Linked DNA regions of Caenorhabditis elegans. The protein of the gene in region 1 purifies or fractionates together with the protein of each later gene. This does not show direct contact. Each region holds a gene or a part of one and is shown in the gene's direction. Other genes may lie near its edges.

Region 1 (6,147 bases):
CAGCAACCGTATCCACGCCGCATATTTACAAATGATGACTATTCGAAAACATTCCTCGAGAATCAATTAACACCCTCTACCGCACTTGTCGTAATTCAAAAATCGTCGGGTTCCTCTTCAAATTATGGATCTTTCTCGCTCAGTACTCAAACCGTATCCTTTGTAACATGGGTTTTATACCCACTCACTGCTTTTTGGAATATTTTCTGTGGTATGATTGGCTGGAATTCTACCGGAAAACAACAAGACTCGAAATCTAAGAAAAACGATGGGCCATCTACATCGGGTCAATCAGGATCACAACCACAAAGACGCGGGATGCCAAGGAGTGCGGAAGTTCGTCGGGTTTGTGTGCATTGTTATTTTCTTTCCATAATGAAATTATTTTCAGCGTGGAAACGTCGCAGGGCTTGAAAATCCGAATGAAGACGATCCTGAAGAGCGAGCCAGTTTCAATGGAAATTCTACTCAGTTCATGTAATAATGTAAATTTCTTGTCGCCTGTGATTCCAACACCAAAAGTTCATCGCCATGGATAATTTATTTTTTGCTCGTTTATAATTCGAATCGAATAAAAGTTTTCATTTATCCCAGATATGTTCAGTTTTCTTGCTGAGTTTTCGGATTTTAAACCATAACTTTATACCTATTCTTTACAATGTTAAAAACATATTTTCTCAAACTCTATTGTGTTAAGATGACAGAAACAGAATCCCAGAAGCAAATAAAACTGGAAATATGCATCGATAATCTGGAATCTGCGGAAAATGCTGTTGCCGGTGGAGCTGATCGATTGGAAGTTTGCTCAGCTTTACAACTCGGAGGGCTCACTCCATCCGTCGGATTTGTGTCTATTCTGAGCTACAAGTATCCCGATATTCCACTTTATTGTATGATTCGCCAACGGGCAGGCGATTTTGTGTATAATGAAGACGAAATGGCAGCGAATATGGAAGACGTTGAATGGCTCAAAAAAGCTGGTGCCACAGGATTCGTTTTTGGAGCATTAACATCGTAAGTCGGAGAGTTTTAAATTGAATGAAACAAATAAATATATTATAATTTTATTTCCAACATGTTTAAATGAAAAAAGAAAAACATATTCTTGTTTCATTTCGAATTTTTCACCATTTTCCGCAAATAAATTCTCAATCAAGTTTATCAATAAAAATTTTACATAACATTTAAATAATTATTTTTAGGCTGACTTAATTTTTGAACAATGCGGAAAGCTTGTTTTTAAAAAACATTTAAAATGCATAGACATGCGGCAAAATTACGAAAGAAGTTTTGTAATTATAACGGTTGATTGCTCTGGATGATCCACAAAAAATTTCAATTTTCAGAGCCGGTTCATTGGATCGTACATCATGTCAATCAATAATTGAAACTGCCCGTCCACATCCTGTCACATTTCATCGAGCAATTGACGTCGCCTATGACTGGAAAACTTGTCTTGAGGACGCTATTGATGTTGGATTCAAAGCTGTTTTGACAAGTGGACAAGAGCCGTCAGCACTCGACGGAGTTTATATCATTCGAGAAATGCAAGAACTTCACAAAGGAAAGATCGATGTTCTCGCAGGTTGTGGTGTGAACAGTTCGAATGTCGCGAATCTTGTCGAATGGACTAAATGTCACTGGTATCATGCTTCAGCTTCTGTTGCCAAGAAAAATGCTCCATTGAATAAGGTGTCAATGGGAAAACAGGACAATCAGCCATCACGTGTCACTTCTTTGGAAGAAGTACGGATGTTGAAAGCGACATTGGCCCCCGTTTAATTATGTTCAATTCTTTTTCATGTCATATTCCAGTCTATATTGCATGCTTCATCATAGTTTCTAACATTTTCATTGTGTTTTGCAATTAGTTGGCTAGAATTTTTCTGTACCGAAAGTTATTTATTAATTTTAGAAGCTCACTAATCAATTAGATATTCGAAGTAGCATGTTTTTTTACTCTACGGGATTGTGAGGGTTATCAATTTATTTATGCCTAGGCAACTTTAATATAGGAGTTGATTTGAACTTAATTAAAATTTTAAATTTCGCTCCTCATTATTTCACAACCTCTCAAATTTTAGACCACGAATGTATGCAAACACGCGCCCTGAAGATTTGTTCCTTCTCTCAATTTCTCATTTTTTTGCTCTACATTTTCTCTCGCCATTTTTTATCATCCTTTTCTCGCATTTATGTTTCTCTGGTCACTCTTTCTCTACCTGCTGGAGGAACTGATAAACGGTTTATTTGAGTAATAATTTTTACACCTTTTTTCTAAAAAGAGTTTGCCTTTTTTAGTCTGAATACTATAGTTTATACTTTCCAACTTTGTTTTTTTTTAATTCAAAAGGTTTTCAAAGTTTCTAATTTCAGTGATTAGTGTCACCTAAAAATGACACAAGTCCTCGTTCGTAACGGGATTCAAGCTGTTGGAGATGGCCTGACTAGCCTAATCATTGTTGGAAAGAAGAGTGTCTTGAAAAATGTGACTTTCGAAGGAAAATTCAAAGAAGTCGCACAAAAGTTTGTTACAGGTTCGGTTTTGGTAGATTACACAAACGCGATGTTTTTTGATTTTTGTCCAAAATTACGGTACATGGTCACTTTCGTTTAAAAAAATTCATATATATCTAGAGATATCTATATACATACTAAATATTAAACATATATTAAATAAAAACACATACATTTTAACAAAGCGCGGAAGAGACTATGGAAACATACCCGTGCGGCATTTGGTTTCGGCATTTGAACAAAATGCACTTTTTCATAAATATGAAAATACGTATATGTATGAAATAGCATACGATGAGAAGCCTGACTCTTAGGCTTGTCACCAGTCAAAAAAATTTCAAAAAAAGTTTACCCCTGCTCGAGATATGCACCCAAATGCCGTATGGCGAATGCCGTATGCCGTATGCCGTATGACGTATTTTCATATTTATGAAAAAGTGCATTTTGTTCAAATGCCGAAACCAAATGCCGCACAGGTATGTATGGAAAATCATGAACCATTCAGAATAAATGAGATTTTGAAATTACAGTACTCTAAAAGACCCACACCTCCCTGTAGTTTACAAAAATGTCTCTTGTCGAGACCTGGTACCGTATGGTTGGTGTAAAGAGAACAACATTTTGCATCTGCAGATGGTTCATACTTTTCCATAATATAAAAATAATTTCAGATGGCGACTCATGGAACTCTATGATTTCTCGAATCCCCGCCTCAGGACGTCATCCTCTTCACTACGAGCTGGCTCATTTGATCACTGTCCCAGATGCCTCTTCACGTGGAAATACCCCCACTAATGCTCATTCGATATATAAGGAGTTAAAACCAATCAACTATCCTGAGGATACAAAGAATGTTCATTTTGTGCTGTTTGCTGAATATCCAGATGTTCTTTCTCACGTTGCGGCTATTGCTCGGACCTTCTGCAAGTTCTCGATGAAAACTTCAGGAATTCGTGAACTGAATGTGAATATCGATGTGGTTTGCGACAAGGTATGTGACAACTATCCTTCATTTTGATATATTGATCTGTATAGTTTTATCATCACTGATAGACAGCAGACACCATGTGCTTGCTTCTATTTGCAAAGTCAGCCTGGAGACTATTCTTTTCTGGAATTGTGTGCTGATAATGTAGAAATACGATAAGAGTTTATTGCGTAGTGTGACGAAATTAAAAAAGAGGAACTAGTAGAATCATTTGATAGCTTCTGCAAAATTCGGCGGTCTTCATGAACTTCCGTTGATAAGAAAGTTATGTGTCCTTCAAGATCTCAATCTCAAAATCCGAATTAATTGTTTTGTTTTAATTGAAAAACAAACATTCAATTTCTTTGCAGCTCACCAACGAGGATGCAGTTTTCCTTACTGATCTCTCAGAATCGGTCCGTGAAACCGCAAGACTCATCGATACTCCAGCCAATATCCTGACTACTGATGCTCTTGTTGATGAAGCAGTCAAAGTTGGAAATGCGACTGGATCAAAAATAACAGTGATCCGTGGGGAAGAACTGTTGAAGGCTGGATTTGGCGGAATCTATCACGTCGGAAAAGCTGGTCCAACACCACCTGCGTTTGTTGTCTTGTCCCATGAGGTTCCTGGATCGACGGAGCACATTGCACTTGTCGGAAAAGGAGTTGTATACGACACTGGAGGCTTGCAAATTAAGACCAAGACTGGAATGCCAAGTATGAAAAACTTCAATTATTATTTATGAAAATGGATTTTTTCAGATATGAAAAGAGATATGGGAGGTGCCGCTGGAATGCTTGAAGCTTACTCTGCTCTTGTCAAACACGGTTTTTCACAAACTCTCCATGCTTGTCTCTGTATTGTTGAGAATAATGTCAGCCCAATTGCAAAGTATATTTAACTTCAATTCAATTTTACTTTATGATTTAATTTCCAGCAAGCCTGATGATATTATCAAAATGTTGAGTGGAAAGACCGTCGAAATCAACAATACTGACGCAGAAGGTCGTTTGATTCTTGCTGACGGAGTTTTCTATGCAAAAGAGACTCTCAAAGCAACAACTATATTCGATATGGCTACTCTGACCGGTGCACAAGCGTGGCTTTCAGGACGTCTTCACGGAGCTGCTATGACAAATGATGAACAGTTGGAGAACGAAGTTGGTCATTCATTAAAAGAATAACAATTTAATTTTTACATTCTTAGATCATCAAAGCTGGAAAGGCTTCAGGAGACTTGGTTGCCCCAATGCTTTTTGCCCCGGATCTTTTCTTTGGTGACTTGAAATCTTCTATTGCTGACATGAAAAATTCGAATCTCGGAAAAATGGATGGACCACCATCTGCAGTCGCTGGCCTCTTTATTGGTGCTCACATTGGTTTTGGCGAAGGACTACGTTGGCTTCATCTTGATATCGCTGCTCCCGCTGAAGTTGGAGATCGTGGTACAGGATATGGTCCAGCTCTTTTCTCGACTCTTCTTGGAAAGTACACTTCAGTGCCTATGCTCAAACAGTAATTGTCCCGTATTCAATGATTTCAATATACGTCATGTTTATTTCTGTGTATTATGTCTGGGTTTTTACTTATTTTATTTTTAAACTGCATATAAATGGTGAGGTAAATACATATCGAAACCTTCAAAATCACAATTAATAAGTTGATTGTCAAACATTGGAATTATTCACGATTACGAGCTGACCACACACATCCGGCTAGACAAGCACAAAGACATACGAAGAATCCAATTATGAATATGACAAGAAATACTCTGAAATTCAATCAAAAATAAGTGTTCTTGCATTTCTGAAAACTTTTTAAAAACAGTTAAACTCACACAACCCATGTCTCCAATTGTATACAACATTCATAAGGACTGTAGTCACAACAACGCCAACGATAAAACACATTATCTGCTCCACATCTTCTGGAATAACGAAGAGTTGAACAATGATCTACTCAAAATAAACAAACCCATAACCTCCATATCCACCATATCCACCGTATCCTCCAGCCATTCCACCAGCCATTCCAAGAACTGATCCAAGTATTCCACCACCACAATTACCGTATCCACCATATCCGTATGACATTGTTTTTTATTCTGAGAAAAAAAGATTTTGAAAGGAACAGTAACCTGTAAAACTAGTGGACATGGAGACGAGAGTACAAAAATAGAACATTATGTAACATTTTTCGTAAAGTTTGAAATTTAGACAGTAAATCTCGATGGGACCCAAATATTACACATTTAACAGATGCAAAATTTAGCGTAATTTGCGCTATAGGTGTACGGTACCGGTCTCAACACGAAAAATTTGTTTTAAATGCAAAAAAGGTGTGTGCCTTTGAGGAGTACTGTAATTTAAAACTTATGTGGAATTTTAATTGATTCTTCACCATATCTCGATTTAAAAAAAAAGATCTCAAACATTTGAAAAACACATAAATTTTTAAAAAATCGTAAGTAAATCTATGAAAAATCAAACAAAAGTTTGAAACTACAGTAATCCTCAAAGGCACACAACTTTTTGCATTTAACAAAAATGTGTCGTGTCGAGACCAATACCGTTTTTTTAATCGCAAATTTTTGCATCTGGGTAATGTAAAAATGCGGAAGTATGCTTCTCTCGGTATTACTATCATGCGTTTCGTAAAG
Region 2 (5,709 bases), on another chromosome or scaffold:
ACGTTTTTTTTTTCAAATAAGAAATGTATCTTAAACCAAATGTTTTAATTCACACAACAGAGCCCGACGGGTGGAACATACTTTTAACCACAAACAGTTTGTGGCTAAAACTGTGCTGATTGGAAAAACTATTAATGAATCACTTTCAAATTTGCCCGCACTAATATAATTGTCAATTGCAAAAATGCTCGTTTTACATCATCGTGATTTTGTTTTAAAAAACTTAACGTCGTACTTTTTTAAAGAATGGTAATATTCAACCTTCAACTTTTTGCATTTTAATAATTCTTTCCATTTTTCCCGTACTTGAAACATTGAGAACACAATATGATTCAATATCGAAAAGCTTCTAAAGGTCACAGCATCTTCTTGAAACTCAGAATTTCCCCCAAAAAACCAGTTGCACGTGCGAAGTAGTATAAATATCCGCGTGTGTGGTCGGAAACCATAGCTTCTTCCACTTCCATTCCATATTTGCGCAATATGAGTACTTTGTCGGTTGCAGTTTTCTTGGTAAGCAATGAATCATCGAATATCTCTTTTACTCATTCGGATTTTCAGATTTCATTTCATTTTGCCTTTGCTCAGTACCCATTTGGTAGAGGAGGGTGTGGAGGATGCCCGACTCCAATGTGCCAACCAAGAATGCCATGTGCTGCACCGATGCCAATGCCGATGCCAATGCCAGTCTGTCCTCCACCTCCACCATGCCCGGCTCAGTAAGTTTCAGCAATAAACCTAGAATATTCACATGCTTGTTCACAGATTCTGTCCACCACCACCAATTTGTCCTCCGCCTCCACCACCGCCAATGCCATGCCCTCCACCACCTCCACCAATGCCGAGACCATCTTGCCCGTGTATGATGCAACGACCATCGTTCTACCCATCATATGTTCCCCAGTACTATCAGCCAATGATGCCTCAGCCAATGCCAACAGCTGGAGGATGTGGAGGTGGTGCAGTTGTACCATCAGTCAGAATTCCAGCTCAGGTTGGTAGATTTTTGAAAGAACCTTTAAGAAAATATCATTTCAGAACGATTGTTGCTGTGGCTGCTCATCGCCATGCAAGTACAAAAGTGTGAGACGCGCCGCATTTGCAGCCAAAACAATCGACCCTTCGTGTAACAGTTCCGAACTGAAAAACATTATCCTTGATGTGAGTACACTCGTTTTGCACGTCAAGCCTACTCTCTTTTCAGAATATTAGCGAAGATGCAAGTGAATCAAAGAGGAACATTCAGAAAATTGCCGAAGAAACACTAGGCCATGAGGTGAACGTTATTTGTGGTACAGGAGAATTCAGTTACATAGCTCATACCGATACATTCTGCCAAGCATTTAAGGAAGATGTCACCTGTTATGCATTCAAACCATTGCAATAAACTTATTTGGTGTTTTTTTTTTGTCTGTATTTCCTGCTTTTTCTGTCCACTACTGGCTTCAATAAATTAATTTTTTGAAAGTTTTTAATTCAATTTGATTTCGTAAAAGCAAAATCCAACAAGATATAAAAAGTTTGAAACTAACACTTATACTCAACGACAGTAGAGAAAGTGTTAATTCAATAGTTCATCGCTGTTGGTGTTTGTATTTTCAAAATGTTTAACCTTAAAAAATGTTTCTTGTGTATTACAACCCTTTATTATAGAAATAAATTATTTTTATATTTTTTTGACCATTTCACTCGCCGTACCTGTTTATCAATTACCGATAATATTTAACAATACAACTCACCTTTAAGTTACAACTTTTGACCTGCTCAGCAGGCTGTGGTGATCTGAAATCTACAGGTTAAAAACCTACATCCGATTGTGAAACGTTTTCTCTACTCGAAATGGTGGTAAGAGTTTTCTAAGATACAAATTGCTAGAGACCGTTTTTCTTCTGATATAAAAAGCGTTTTAGTAGCAATTTATCTTCATGGAATTGAGATTTCTATATTATAAACATAAGCAACTCTAAAAAACACTAGTTCTCCACTCTTTAAAATCGTCATACTCCTACTTGCTTTTTATTCATGAAACAGTATCATTGCCAATGCAAACAAACAACTATAGAATAATGCCATCCAAACATTCAAGAAAAAATCATCACGTGACTGTTTCGCAATTCAATTTGCATCCAATGTAGTTTTCTCTCTCTTGTCAAAACTTATCTGATATACTCTATTGTTTTATCCAATTGACGTCACTATCATCATCTTATCTTTTCAATTAGATTTGTGAGACCTTATATAGCGGTTTCAGTGGTGCACATCTGTCATTGTCACTGTCTGTGTGCAGTCATTTTTTTTGGTTATCGTTTTGTTTTTATTGGTGGTCGTTTAGTCGTGTATCGACCTTGGCCTATGCGTGTACGACTCCTTTTTGTATTTGTCACTAGCACCCTCTCCAACCTGTATGCTATTTTCTGTTTCAACGCCGCATGCGTGTACAGTTTCGGAGACATAACAGACTGCTGTCTACTCAACTCCATTTTTCAAAACTTGTATTGCTTTGCAGGCTAAATCATGAAATCCTTCGTTTCTGTTCCTCAAAACTCGGATTTCCCAATTCAAAACTTACCGTATGGTGTTTTCTCAACAAAGGCTGACGTAAGTGTATAAATAATTATTTCTAAAGCAAAATTAAACTAAATATTTTCAGTCTTCCCGCCACATTGGAGTTGCAATTGGAGATCAAATCCTCAACTTGGCAGAAATTGCCAATCTTTTTGACGGACCTCAATTGAAGGCACATCAGGATGTTTTCAAGCAGAGCACATTGAACGCGTTCATGGCACTGCCACGTCCAGCCTGGTTGGAAGCTCGTGCAAGAATCCAACAACTGCTCTCAGAGGATTGTGCTGTTCTTAGGGATAACGCTCATTTGAGGTGAATAAGTTGGCAAAACAAATTTGAAAAAGTTAAAAAGTAGTACAAAGTGTGTCTGATAATCTACTAACCAAATCTAAACAACTATTTCACAAGTTTTAATTTTTATCGTTAGTTTATAATTGCAAAGTTGAATCAATACTGTGCAGCAAGTTGGCAAGTTGAAATGTATATAGAAGTATGTGAAAATGTTCGGTCAATCTGAAAAAAATTATTTTATTGAGAACGCCTGGAAACCCGTCAAAGTTTTTGAAATACTTCATTTGACTTTAAATATATCGTTAAACTTTGTTGGCGACTTGTAGGCATTATTTTTAAAAAAATCTATTTCAAAATCGAGAAAAACCTACATTTTTATATTAATTTTTGATTTATAAATTGAAATCTCATACTGTAATTAGAAGCTTTGTACGTTTTGCGCACAACTTACATATAACTCTGTTTAAAACAACCAAGAAACTTTGTAATAATATTCTTATGTTTTTATTTACAGAAGCCGGGCTCTTGTCGCTCAATCCGATGCTACAATGCACCTTCCAGCTCAAATCGGAGATTACACCGATTTCTACTCCTCCATCCATCACGCCACCAACGTCGGAATCATGTTCCGTGGAAAGGAAAATGCTCTGATGCCAAACTGGAAGTGGCTTCCGGTCGGATACCACGGAAGAGCTTCATCAATCGTTGTATCTGGAACAGACTTGAAAAGACCAGTTGGACAAACTAAGGCCCCAGATGGTAAGATTTAGATTTGCACCAATAATGCAAATGTGTCCGCTTTCAGCTGAGGTTCCATCGTTTGGTCCATCAAAGCTTATGGACTTTGAGCTCGAGATGGCGTTCTTTGTGGGAGGTCCAGAAAATGAATTGGGAACTCGTGTTCCAATCGAGAAGGCTGAGGATCGTATCTTTGGAGTTGTGCTCATGAACGACTGGAGTGGTGAGTAACGATGTTAATTAAATATCAAACAAAAACATTTAAACTCGACATTTTGGTGACAAGAAAATTCAACAGTAGTTATTTTCAAGTTTGCTCCATACTCATCCGAAAAAAAACTTTTCCAGCTCGCGATATCCAAGCTTGGGAATACGTTCCACTCGGCCCATTCCTTGCTAAATCCTTTGCCACAACTGTTTCTCCATGGGTCGTCTCAATTGAAGCTCTTCGTCCATACTTTGTTGAGAATCCAGTACAAGATCCAGTTCCACCAGCATATCTCCATCACGATGACCCATTTACCCTTGACATCAATTTGGCCGTCAGTATCCGTCCAGAAGGAGATGCTGTGGACCATATTGTCTGTAAAACTAACTTCAAGGTATGTTCAAGTTTAGTAGAAACGATATTATCTACACTGTTCACTGTAAATTGGATCATAAACGCTCGTTAAGGTTTTCTCAACTACAATACTGTAATTTCTAGCATTTGTATTGGACTCTAAAACAACAACTTGCTCACCACACCGTCAATGGATGCAACCTCCGCGCTGGAGATCTTTTGGGATCAGGAACTGTATCTGGACCAGAAGAAGGTGCATATGGATCCATGCTCGAGCTTTCGTGGCGCGGAGCCAAAGAAGTTCCAGTTGGCTCAGAAATCCGAAAGTTCTTAAAGGACGGAGATGAGGTCAACCTTTCTGGAGTTTGTGAAAAGAATGGAGTCAGAATTGGTTTCGGAGAGTGCCGCGGAAAAGTCCTGCCAGCCGATATCTAAAATCATCGTAATTAAATCGTTTTGCTTTTTGTTTCATTCTCTCGTTTGTTAGTAGTATCTCGTCGAATAAAGTTCTGAAGCCCACGAAAAGTGATGAAAGTGGAAGTGTGCAGTGTCGAAAATGATAGGGGTTTGTCACGATTTTTTGGTTTCTATGTTATCAGTTCAAAGCATGAGCGAATAAATAGGAGAGCTGGTTGCTTGGAAATCATTCTCAGTTCAATCATGATCAAGACAATCTTGCTTTTGGCCTTTGTGGCCTCGACCTCAGCTTTTGTGATTCCTTTCAAAGTTCATGCTGCAGTTACCAACATTACCAAAGGTGAGTATGAGAATTTACAGATTTGTTTCAGATAAAGTGAAATTTGGTGTTTGTAAATGGAAGCCTTTACAAAATTTAAAATGAACATTTAAGCATTATTTTTGATTTTTTTTTTGAATTATTTTCCGAAGCGTATAAAAATTTCGATCACGTTTGATTGAACATGAACATTTAATGGTACATTAACGTTATATTTTATTCAAAATAGGGATAGACACGTAACTGGGAGTAATAATAGTGGAGAGCGGTAAGTTGTTTTAAGAGCACGTATATATATATCCCGAAGCCACATAAAATGTACAGTGAATGAACAAACATTATTTCCTTTACGACATTGAGTAGAATGTATTTAACTTAGAATAAAGCTTATAACTTACAAACACAATGTTGCGGTTGATTTCCAATTATATATTGGTTGTTTTGAGAATTATGAACTGAAACTTGTGTGGTATGATTTTTCCATCATTTCCAACTATTTGAAAACATTTTATATCAACTTTTAGAAAAAAACTTTTTTTTTTTGATTTTTTTGGAATTTTTAAAAAGGGGTATTTTGGCACTTTCAAAATGTCGTAACTTGATCAAACCTGCTCTGAAGCAGCTAAATTTTTGGAGTGATCATCTGTAACTATTCTCTATCGAATGTATATAGTGGCGTAACGAAGTCCGATAACGAGTTCAGAGCCTTCCCTTGTTAGGAATAATGGTTTTCTAAATCTATTACATTCCACTAGTGAATTGTTTTGTACTGAAAATTACTTTTGGTATATAATACACAAGTTCCTTAGATTTTCAA
Region 3 (5,702 bases), on another chromosome or scaffold:
GCAATAGAAAAATTCAACGCGCCTTCAAATGCGCGCGATTTTTAGAATTTTCAATTTTATAAAATTACCTCATTTTTAATATCAGTCATTTTTCCCGTGTTTTATTTCTTTCTACGCGAAATTTTCTTTCAAAATCATTTTCGACATTTTCAGAAAATGAGCCGACGAGCAATTCTTCGTCTGCTGCTCGCGCTGCTCGCGTTCCACTCGGCTGCGGAGGCGGCTCACTCGCCCGTCGCCGAGGTTGTGGGAACCGAGCAGTACCTGCTCATCGCGCAGCAGGACAACTACAGATTCGCCGAAGCGAACGTAGAAGCGGGACAATGCCCGCGGGTCATGGAATCCCCGAAAAGGTTTGTTTTGCCGGAAAATTTCGAAAATAATTTAACAAATGTTAATTTTCAGCGAGCCTATTCCCTACCGCTTTGTCGGCGTTCACCTGGTCCGAGATCCGGATGGCATCCATGCGCCGAGGGTGTTGACTGTCACAGAAGACAGTCTCACCTACAATATCAAGATCACGGATTTGCATGTATGCTTATTATAGTGGTTGAAGTGTTGAATTTCGTATTTTTTAGATGTCGAATGGCTTCGAGAAGAACTCCGGGAAGCGGGAGGAGAACATTGGGTCAAGAGAGTCGATCTACCGCGAAGACGGGGCTCGAGGAAAGGCGAAGAGAAATCTGGCCCGTTCAATGTTCGACACGACTCGACACATGCTTTACCTGGACTTTTCAGCTCCTCCATTCTACGATATCGAGCAAATTTACTTGCATGGCATTTTCAGCGGTAATCACTTGCTTAATAAGCCTGCCTTTTAATCATAATTTTTTATTTTCAGATCGATTCGACAAGCTGCACATCGCAAAGTACACTGGCCACGCTGTGAATGGACTGTTCGATTGGGTCGAGGATCCATACACCGATGCAGTTTACTACAAGGAGCGAATTAATGGCCACGTGGAGATGTTCCAAGCAAAAATCAAAGATGTCGTGCCGATTATCACCGGAAAAATGGCTGGACGACGAATCGAAAATTCCTTGTTGAGCGGCGAACTCCAAGGTGTCTCGAACGGAGTATTCTACGAGACGAGTGTGAGAGATGTCAACGAAACGCATCAGACCCTGTCCTCAACGCTGACAACACTCGATTCGGAATGGAGTATCACTTGTAACGCGGAGACGATTTACAGTGTTGTTCCGAAGACCAACAAGCTCCTCATCATCAGGTTTTGAAGAAATCATCGATCTTCGAATTTAATATTCATAATTTCAGGGCCAACGATTATTGCATGTTGAGAGATGGAAAGAATTACAACAAGGAGAGCTGTGAAAACGAGCAGGCAGACTACCTGGCTCGCAATAATCCGTCTGAGGTGAGCTGGTTGTGTTGAAGAAATTTATAAATTAAATATATTTCCAGACCGACAGCAATGTGAACGCGATGATGTGGCTGATCGTGTTCTGCGTCGTCTTAATCCTTCTCGTGATTCTCCAGTGCGTCTACATCTTTTGGCTCCGATCGTCCTTTGTCTCGGCTGACGAGGCCTCTCATCATCAGGATCAGGAGACTGAAGCCTCCATCTTCATCGCGAAACAGCGCAGCTTCCCAGCGAGTTTCCATGAGCCAGGACTTTTGGATGTCTCCGTCGACAAGTGGAATTAAATCATTTTTATTTGAATTTATAGCATTCTCGTTCTTTTTCAATCTTTTCTAGCCTTCTATCCTTCTAGACACTAGACACTGTCATATTCTCATCTCATAATTTTTAATTTTTTACTTTTTTTTTTGTCACATTTCCTAGCACTTTCTGTTTCTTTTTTTTATATAAAATTAAATATTCCGCATTTTTATTTGTTTTAATTAATGATCTTTATCTTAACGTTGTTTATTCACCAACACTATTTTATTTTTGTATTCGAGTTTTCGAGACGCATCGATCACGTTTCTCCAAGTGCACACGGGTCAAATGGTGGGCAGTTGCAGGTCTCTCCACGTGCTGTGGCCGTCTCTTAGTCTCTTGCACTATCACTTTTCCCACTCTCTGACTCTTTTTTATTTCTTTTTCTTCTTTTTTTGCTGAGAGAGAGAGAAAAGCAACTGTTCTTCTTCTTCTGTCCTATTTGCCACTCCTCCCGTCGTCTTATCAACAGCATTGAAACTTCAAAAACTCGCAGATAGAGCTTTTAACCTTTTAATTTTCAATGTTCGCGTGTATTTTGTGGCTTATTTTATTTATTTCTTAGTTCAAAATTCGAAACGTGATCAGTAATGTTTAGTTTTCATTCATTTCGCATTATCCGAATCGTCAGAACCACCACGCGACCGCCCATCTCTTGTGATTTTCAATTTTTCTTCTCGTGCGTTTTCAGTCATTATCTTCTAATTTTCAGCTCTAAAACTTGCGGTACCCCAGAATGTTGTCTCGTCTTGCTCGTGTTCAGGTAGGAGTTTCTTTTTATAATATTTTTTAACAAAAAATCGTGTACTTCACACATCACTTGCAGTCTGTGCGACAGTTGTCGTATGGGGTGACACATTGAAAAAGAAAACGAAAATCAAACAATCAAAACTTCAAAACTTCAAATAATATTCTAATTTCAGCCAAAATGCCAACAGCTCGCCCACTTCAGCACATCGAAGTCTGCTGCCGCCGCACCAGTGAGTTTCAGGCTTGATCTTAAGTTTCCAAATCCAAATTCCATAATTTTTCAGACTGTCAAGCTGTGGATCGATGGACAAGCTGTTGAATCGAAGACCACCGACTTCGTGGAGCTCACCAATCCAGCCACCAACGAGGTCATCGCTATGGTGCCAAACGCCACCCAAGCTGAGATGCAAGCCGCTGTTGACTCGGCCAAGAATGCCTTCAACACCTGGAAGAACACGTGAGTCTTGAATCCCGTGTGATCTTTTTTTTTTATTTCAATAATAGAAGTTTCCAGATCCCCACTGACCCGTCAACAATGCATGTTCAAACTTCAAGCCTTGATCAAGAGAGACATGAAGAAGCTCGCTGAGAGCATCACCATTGAGCAAGGAAAGACCCTTCCAGATGCCGAGGGAGACGTCAGCAGAGGTCTTCAGGTCGTCGAGCACGCTTGCTCCGTTCCATCCCTGATGATGGGAGAGACCCTTCCAAATGTCTCTCGCGACATGGACACCCACTCCTACAGAATCCCACTTGGAGTCACCGCCGGAATCTGTCCATTCAACTTCCCGGCTATGATCCCATTGTGGATGTTCCCAGTCGCCTTGGCCACCGGAAACACTATGGTCATCAAGCCATCCGAGCAGGATCCAGGAGCAGCTCAGCTTCTTGTCGAACTTGCCAAGGAGGCCGGAGTTCCAGATGGATGTGTCAATATTATTCACGGACAGCACTCTGCTGTTAACTTTATCTGCGATAACCCAGATATCAAGGCTATCTCATTTGTTGGAGGAGATGCTGCTGTAAGTTTTTTTGAATTTGTTTTTTATGAACATTAATCAATTTTCATGATTTTTTCAGGGAAAACACATCTACGAGCGTGGAGCCAAGAACGGAAAGCGCGTCCAATCCAACATGGGAGCCAAGAACCACGGAGTCATCATGGCTGATGCCAACAAAGAACAGACCCTCAATCAGCTCACCGCTGCCGCCTTCGGAGCCGCCGGACAACGCTGCATGGCTCTCACCACCGCTGTGCTCGTCGGAGAAGCTCGCGCCTGGCTCCCAGAACTCGTCGAGAAGGCCAAGAACTTGAAGGTCAACGCTGGATGGAAGCCGGATACCGACATCGGACCACTGATCTCCAAGCAATCCAAGGCCCGTGTCCTCCGTCTTATCGAGAGTGCCAAGAAGGAGGGAGCTCAGGTTCCACTTGATGGATCCAATATCACTGTTCCAGGATTTGAGAATGGAAACTTCGTGGGACCAACGATTCTCGCTGGAGTCAAGCCAAATATGACTTGCTACAGAGTAAGATTTTGTTTTTTTTTAAATTTGTTTAATTTAATATTTAATTTTTTGTAGGAAGAAATCTTCGGCCCAGTCCTTGTCGTCATGGAGGCCGAGAACTTGAACGAGGCCATCGAAATCATCAACAACAACCCATACGGAAACGGAACGGCCATCTTCACCAGCAACGGAGCCACCGCCAGAAAGTTCACCAACGAAGTCGATGTCGGACAAATCGGAATCAACGTGCCAATCCCAGTTCCACTCCCAATGTTCTCGTTCACCGGCTCGCGTGGTTCATTCCTCGGAGATCTCAACTTCTACGGAAAGGCCGGAATCCAGTTCTACACTCAATGGAAGACTGTCACTCAATACTGGAACGAGTCGCTCACCGAGCTGAAGCCACAAATGTCGTTCCCACAGCTCAAGTAAATTGAAATTCTGTGAATTCTGAATTCTCTCATCCATCCCCACACACAATCACTTCTTGGTTCTTTTATTCTTGTTCAATAACGTTTATTGCCATGGTTTTTTGCAACCTCTCATTTCTTGTTTGTTCATATATAATACACATTTTATCATAAAAGTGACGATTAGACCCGTAAATGGAATGGGGGAAAATAATCACAGTTCAGAGAGAATCGTATTCGAATGATTGAAATCATAATCAAAACGTGGATAGTAACTATTCGGATCGGCAATCTGTTTATCATTCCGTTTGGAACGAGCCGCCGTGGGTTCGTCGATTTCCAAATCCGATTCCTCATCCTCCTCACTATTTGAAGTTGGATCTAGCGTGACGGCGATTATGATTATACCTGGAAAATATAAAATATTATTGGGACGTAGAAAAAATGCCCAATCAACGTGAAAACGCCCTCCACGGCAAATTGAAAACGCTCCGCCTCCTAACCGTGGGTCTCATTAGGTATTCTACCAAAATTCAGCATTTTCAATTAGCTTCAAGTGGTAACTTTCAAGTTACCAGTTTTTCCTAACGAGACCCAACTATTTGAGGCGGAGCGGTTCCAATTGGCCGTGGAGCGCATTTTCTGCGTCTTCATAATAATCTAACCTGTGATAAGAAGAGCAACACTGATAAGTGATACGATAAGCACCAATGCTACCGAAACGGACATCGACTGTGGTGCATTGTTGTTGAATGGACTGGCGACCGTCGGCGACGGGATCGCGCTGTCCAGAATTCGGCGGGCTTCCTCGTCTGAAAAAATATTTTGAGGAATATTGTTGAATTTTGTAATTTTTTCACCAAAAAATACGGTACTGCTAGGGTCTCGACGCGACCGGAAGTTTTCTGCAGGAAAATTGTGTGCGCTTTTAAAGACTACTGTAGTTGTGAAATTCTCGCTGAATTTTTCAAAATCGTATTTTTCATAAAATATTGATATATTTCAGATTTTGTAAAAATTCATTTGCGAAGATTGCGAAATAACGGGAAATGGGTTACTGTAATTTTAAAGGTGCATACTTTTTGTTGGGTAGATTTGAAAATATTTTGATCGCGTCGAGACCTTTTTTTTATGAAAAAACGTAATAACTTATAATTTTCGATGTTTTTTTAACTCTAAATAAGTTTTATAAAATTTTGCGCCTTTAAACAACTGGTTACTATAACGAAATTTCGAAAAAAGCCTACCATTTGCATCAAAAGCGATCACAATTTTGGAATTCGCATGTGAGACGGCCAAATAAATGAAGGCGACAAAAATGAAACAGGTCAGTAGAATAATACGAACCACG
Region 4 (4,691 bases), 1.3 Mb from region 1:
ACAATTTGGACGAAATCAACGACAAAGAAAAGAATAACAATGTTAGAACCAATTAATAGTCTGTAAAATGATGAATTTCAAAAACATGAAGACGTCCATCATCGTTTCCAACGGCCATATATCCTCCATTTGGAGAAAACTCCACACATCTTGCATGTGTCACTTTTCCGTTTCTTTCCGGGAAGTTTTTGAATGTTGTCTGACTTGCCACGTGGACGAGACGAAGATGATTGTCCTTGACATTTGAACAAATTGCCATCAATTGAGCATCAGAATTGAAAGCGATTGATGAGACCGCGGTGACGAGATTAGAAACATTGAAAAGTGGACGAGGATTTGTAGAATTGCGGCAATCATTTCCAGAATAGACATTCACGATTCCGGTATCACTTCTGGAAATTTCAAATTTTCATCATATAATCAGGATGTATGTAAAGACTAGGTCATTTATTTTCACCGGAATTCAACAAAAAAAGATTTTTTTTTTTAAATTTTTGTTGCTAAACTGAAAATATCAACAAAAAAAAAGATGTAGCAAACTGTACAATTATATTAATATATGAATTATATGAATGAATGACAGTATCGTGATTTTACGAATTATAAAAGTTTGATTTTAAAAAAGCTTACCCAGTCGCAAAGTAATCTCCATGTTGGCTGATGGCGAGTGTTGTTCCGTGCACAGCTCCATCGTCGGTGAATGTATGTTGCGATGATTTGGTTCCCGGCAATCCAATGTTTGCGATCACAATTTGGCCGGTCTCTAGAAATTTCGAATAATTTTTGAATTTTTGGCAATATAAAACCAACCGCAGATGATCCAAATTTCACGGCTGTGCGATGGGAAAAACTTGATTTCTGACGCATTTGCTGGGAGTGATATTGTTGTGATATGCTCCATCGACTGAAACATTTTACATTTAAACTTTTAATTTGCCAATAATTTAATTTTTTGACATACAGTAGCATGGAGAACATAGATGTGAGAATTGTGTCCTGCAATTGCCAAAAATTGAGAGTCATGCGAAATGGCAAAGAGCCGAATTCCTTGCTTTGGTACTGCTGTAAAATGTTCAAAGTTTTGCTTCAAATTTTATTAAATATTAAACGTACTGTTTGGAGGTTTCAACTGTGTCACTTCTCTTGTTTCCATATTGTACTGCATCAAATATTCCTTTCGGCTTGAAGAACAGATCACAGAGTGTCCTTTATCAGCAATTTCCAGACTATCAATCGGGAATTTTGAGAAATTCGCACTTTGAAGGAAACGATCCTTTTTAACCTCACGACTTACCTGAAATAAGTAAGGAATGGTTTAATTAAAACAGAAAACACAACTTACTTTAAAAAGTTGAACATTTCCACCTTGATCGGCAACAATGAGCACTGGTCGGGTTTTATGAAATTTAACAACAGTGATTCCACGAGTGTATCGGTGTCCGATGTTGAAATCTTTTATAAGAGTTGTATGAATAGTTGTTTTTGGTAAATTCACGTCTTTCGCCAAATATCCGGCAGCAGTTTTCAACAATGACCCTTCTTCTTCGTCTCCTAAAATTGTAAAATACGATTTTTGAACTATTGATTTTCCAAAAACCTGCAGCAGCCTTAGCCCATTTTGGTGTGCCTCCGTGGCGTTTTCTGAACGCCTCTTGCAATCTACCAACGTATTCCTAAAATATTAAAATTATTTTTCAGAAGTAATTTATCCTTCTGCCTATTTTCAATTATATAATCTTTATTACACGTTGAATAACGTATTTCTAAAAAAAATTTACCTTTGAATCCAATTCTCCATGTTCTTCGTCTGTGGTTCGCTTGAGTTCAACTCGCATTGTCATTTTCACTTTTTTTGGAACCGCCACAACCATATTATCGTCGTCCTCATCGTGCCACGCAGGCTTTTCAGACTCAATCACTGGCCGTTTGCTCATTTCTCTGAAAATTGTTCAAAATAACCTTAATGAAAGATTCAATAAGCTGAAAATTAAAGAAAATTCGGAAAAGAAAAAAGAAAAATGAGAAGCAATTGTCGTCAAATAGTGTGTGTTATCGTAGTTTTAGTGCAAACACCGTCACGTCTCAATGCAGAATTTCATTAATTTCAGTATTTCAGCTGAAAATTTCAGTCTTTCTTATCAATTTACTATTGTTTTCGTTTTCTTTTCAGCATTTTTGTATGTTTTCTACAAAATTTCCATTATCAGGAGTATTGCGAACCGCCAGAATGGTCACCTCCACCGGCCCTGAAGCAGAACTGGCTCCTATTGAGCAGGCGAAGAAACGAGTAAGTCAAAAATTAAGACCAATTCCAACCCTCATTAATCATTTCAGGCTGCGTTTGCCTGCGGTGAAAAATATGTGCAAAGTGGTTGCCGTCTTGGTGTTGGATCCGGAAGCACTGTCAAGTATTTGGTAGAATATCTTAAACAAGGATTTCAGAATGGAAGTCTCAAGGATATCATCTGTGTTCCAACCAGTTTTTTGGTAAACAGATTTTCAACAAACCCAATTGTTATAAATAAGTATTTCAGACAAAACAATGGCTGATTGAGTCTGGTCTCCCTGTCTCCGATTTGGATTCACATCCAGAACTGGATGTGTGTATTGATGGAGCTGATGAAGTTGACGGACAGTTCACGTGCATCAAAGGCGGAGGTGGATGTCTGGCTCAAGAAAAAATTGTTCAAACCGCTGCAAAAAACTTTTACGTGATCGCTGATTATTTAAAAGATTCCAAACACTTGGGTGATCGCTATCCGAATGTCCCAATTGAGGTAAATTATTTAACTTTTTATAATTATCAGTAAAGAAAGATGCACTAAAGAATAAACTTTAGAACAATAGTTTTTTCTAAATAGATGTAGTTATGTTGACTGTTTTTAATGAGATTTATTGCAGGTTCTACCTCTTGCTGCTCAACCACTTCTACGTTCGATTCCACGCGCTGAAGGTGGAAGCTGTCAACTTCGACAAGCTGTCAAAAAGTGCGGACCAATTGTGACAGACAATGGAAACTTCATTATTGATTGGCAGTTCGAGAAAAACGTATCCGGAAGAGATTGGTTCGCGATTCAGCAACGATTGGCCAATACACCAGGAATTGTTGAAACCGGATTATTCATCGGTTGCGTCGACGCAGTATTCTTCGCGTACTCTGACGGATCTGTCAAGGAAATTGTCAATTCCAAGAAGCACTGACTACTTGCATCGAATTTTGTTCATATTGAAAATTAGTTGTTTCTTATCACCACCACACTCTCCAAACTTCACTTTTCCTCTTCCCAGTTGTTGTGAAAATTGTACCCATTCATTCCCAATGTTCCTAGTATACGTGTAGTTCTTAGAATAGCCCCAATAAAAATTGTGTTGAAAAAACGTCTTTCTTAAAAAACTGAAAAAAAAATTAGAAAACTCTGAAAACGTTTTGAAATGTAAAGTGTCTGGATGTAAAGTGTCTGAAACTGTTTAATTTCAAATTACAGTAGTCTTGAAGTGTATGAATGGCGAGGATAGCTTAAAGATTGAAAGAAATGAGAATTTGCTTCCTAAATGACTCATTGGAGGCGGTAAAATTAAGAGCGAGCAATAATTTCAAAAATACTGATAAAGTTGGGAAATAAGTAAATATTTCAAAATTTTTAACAATTGCTGTATTAAAAAGCACTTTCGTCAAATCGTATCATTCGTATTCTATTCATTCCAGATTGTTCAAATTTTAATTTCCAAATGATTACATCTGAATTGAGTGATTTCCTCGAGATCAACGAAAAAAATAGTGTTCTAAGAGGAATATCGGCAAGCGATAAGGTATGATTTTGTGCACTAAGAGATAGGCACGGTCTCTGCTTAAAGACAAATGTAGTTTCAATTCAACTAGCTTGTGCTCATTTCAGATACTTTCATCAGGTATTTGTCAACTTCTTTTTTCTGAAAATGGGCATTGGCGGATACCGAATGGGGGAACCGCTGTGGCATTGTTTTTGAAAGTAAGTACGATAAATTTTAAAAAGATGAACTGTGGTAGAAAGCTGCAAAGATGTTATCATATGAAAACTACTAGAAGAACAAACAATTAATCTAGATTAATTATTTCAAAATGAGAAATGTATACTTTTTTCGAAGTGAGTCGCAGTAGGATTGTTTGCAAAATCCAATTTAGTTTTGCAAAGAAATACTCAAACTCAACAGACGATTAATTCAATTTTTCAGAACAGTACGGAACGATATTACCGGATAATAGTAATGGAACCATCTGCAGATCCAGATTGGGAACCAACAGTTCAATTTGATTTTCTTATTAGGTAATCTTGAATATAATTTAATTTCAACTAACACTATGATTATAGAGACAAAAAGTTTGAAACAATGCAGGAACATGCAAGGTTACTCGTTTTTGAGGCAGAATCCAGATACATTGGATTGAACTTTTACGACTCAAAGGAATGTGAGAACTTTCACAATAGTGTTTGCAAACGACAAAGTGAGTAATTCGATTATTAAACTAGTTGGAAAAATATCGCTTTTTCCATATTTTTATTATGTACAATACTATTTCTTAAATCAATTTTTGAGTTCAATAATAATAGGGTAATGTTTATATTTCCGTCTATCTTTGCTTTTATTACAGAAATAGGTAGAATACGGTAACTTGAGTTCTAATATATGCAAGATAGAACCCTAAATCGGTA

What was found.
Region 2: the proteins of lap-1 (region 1) and fah-1 fractionate together in Caenorhabditis elegans (co-fractionation; one large-scale study listed by BioGRID). This does not show direct contact.
Region 3: the proteins of lap-1 (region 1) and alh-8 fractionate together in Caenorhabditis elegans (co-fractionation; one large-scale study listed by BioGRID). This does not show direct contact.
Region 4: the proteins of lap-1 (region 1) and rpia-1 fractionate together in Caenorhabditis elegans (co-fractionation; one large-scale study listed by BioGRID). This does not show direct contact.

Annotation. Positions count from the first base shown.
Region 1 is NC_003281.10:8,398,158-8,404,304, reverse strand, and holds lap-1 (Leucine aminopeptidase 1), read left to right. Parts: upstream 1-2,376; 5' UTR 2,377-2,395; coding exon 2,396-2,537; intron 2,538-3,188; coding exon 3,189-3,508; intron 3,509-3,855; coding exon 3,856-4,204; intron 4,205-4,249; coding exon 4,250-4,379; intron 4,380-4,425; coding exon 4,426-4,648; intron 4,649-4,695; coding exon 4,696-5,007; 3' UTR 5,008-5,113; downstream 5,114-6,147. Other genes in the region: ubxn-4 (UBX domain-containing protein 4), read left to right, coding at 1-345, 392-481; cutc-1 (Copper homeostasis protein cutC homolog), read left to right, coding at 698-1,014, 1,347-1,782; ZK353.2 (uncharacterized protein), read right to left, coding at 5,169-5,259, 5,326-5,415, 5,463-5,581. UniProt on the Caenorhabditis elegans protein: Probably acts as a digestive enzyme.
Region 2 is NC_003284.9:6,445,714-6,451,422, reverse strand, and holds fah-1 (Fumarylacetoacetase), read left to right. Parts: upstream 1-2,506; 5' UTR 2,507-2,514; coding exon 2,515-2,598; intron 2,599-2,650; coding exon 2,651-2,877; intron 2,878-3,370; coding exon 3,371-3,615; intron 3,616-3,661; coding exon 3,662-3,817; intron 3,818-3,942; coding exon 3,943-4,196; intron 4,197-4,300; coding exon 4,301-4,591; 3' UTR 4,592-4,677; downstream 4,678-5,709. Other genes in the region: grl-6 (Ground-like domain-containing protein), read left to right, coding at 484-513, 562-719, 766-994, 1,039-1,161, 1,205-1,387; asp-14 (Peptidase A1 domain-containing protein), read left to right, coding at 4,817-4,913. UniProt on the Caenorhabditis elegans protein: Fumarylacetoacetase involved in the tyrosine degradation pathway.
Region 3 is NC_003280.10:11,726,661-11,732,362, forward strand, and holds alh-8 (putative methylmalonate-semialdehyde/malonate-semialdehyde dehydrogenase [acylating], mitochondrial), read left to right. Parts: upstream 1-2,394; 5' UTR 2,395-2,418; coding exon 2,419-2,445; intron 2,446-2,605; coding exon 2,606-2,662; intron 2,663-2,716; coding exon 2,717-2,889; intron 2,890-2,936; coding exon of another isoform or gene 2,937-2,946; coding exon 2,947-3,454; intron 3,455-3,512; coding exon 3,513-3,962; intron 3,963-4,016; coding exon 4,017-4,373; 3' UTR 4,374-4,538; downstream 4,539-5,702. Other genes in the region: F13D12.5 (uncharacterized protein), read left to right, coding at 157-353, 406-532, 579-789, 842-1,229, 1,277-1,376, 1,424-1,666; F13D12.8 (Col_cuticle_N domain-containing protein), read right to left, coding at 4,566-4,759, 5,017-5,163, 5,599-5,702. UniProt on the Caenorhabditis elegans protein: Probable malonate and methylmalonate semialdehyde dehydrogenase involved in the catabolism of valine, thymine, and compounds catabolized by way of beta-alanine, including uracil and cytidine.
Region 4 is NC_003281.10:7,120,958-7,125,648, forward strand, and holds rpia-1 (Probable-ribose 5-phosphate isomerase), read left to right. Parts: upstream 1-2,170; 5' UTR 2,171-2,227; coding exon 2,228-2,287; intron 2,288-2,334; coding exon 2,335-2,487; intron 2,488-2,534; coding exon 2,535-2,777; intron 2,778-2,901; coding exon 2,902-3,201; 3' UTR 3,202-3,378; downstream 3,379-4,691. Other genes in the region: B0280.9 (U3 small nucleolar RNA-associated protein 18 homolog), read right to left, coding at 53-392, 631-763, 811-904, 962-1,062, 1,114-1,294, 1,343-1,551, 1,598-1,673, 1,779-1,934; B0280.2 (uncharacterized protein), read left to right, coding at 3,730-3,810, 3,897-3,989, 4,213-4,304, 4,350-4,483.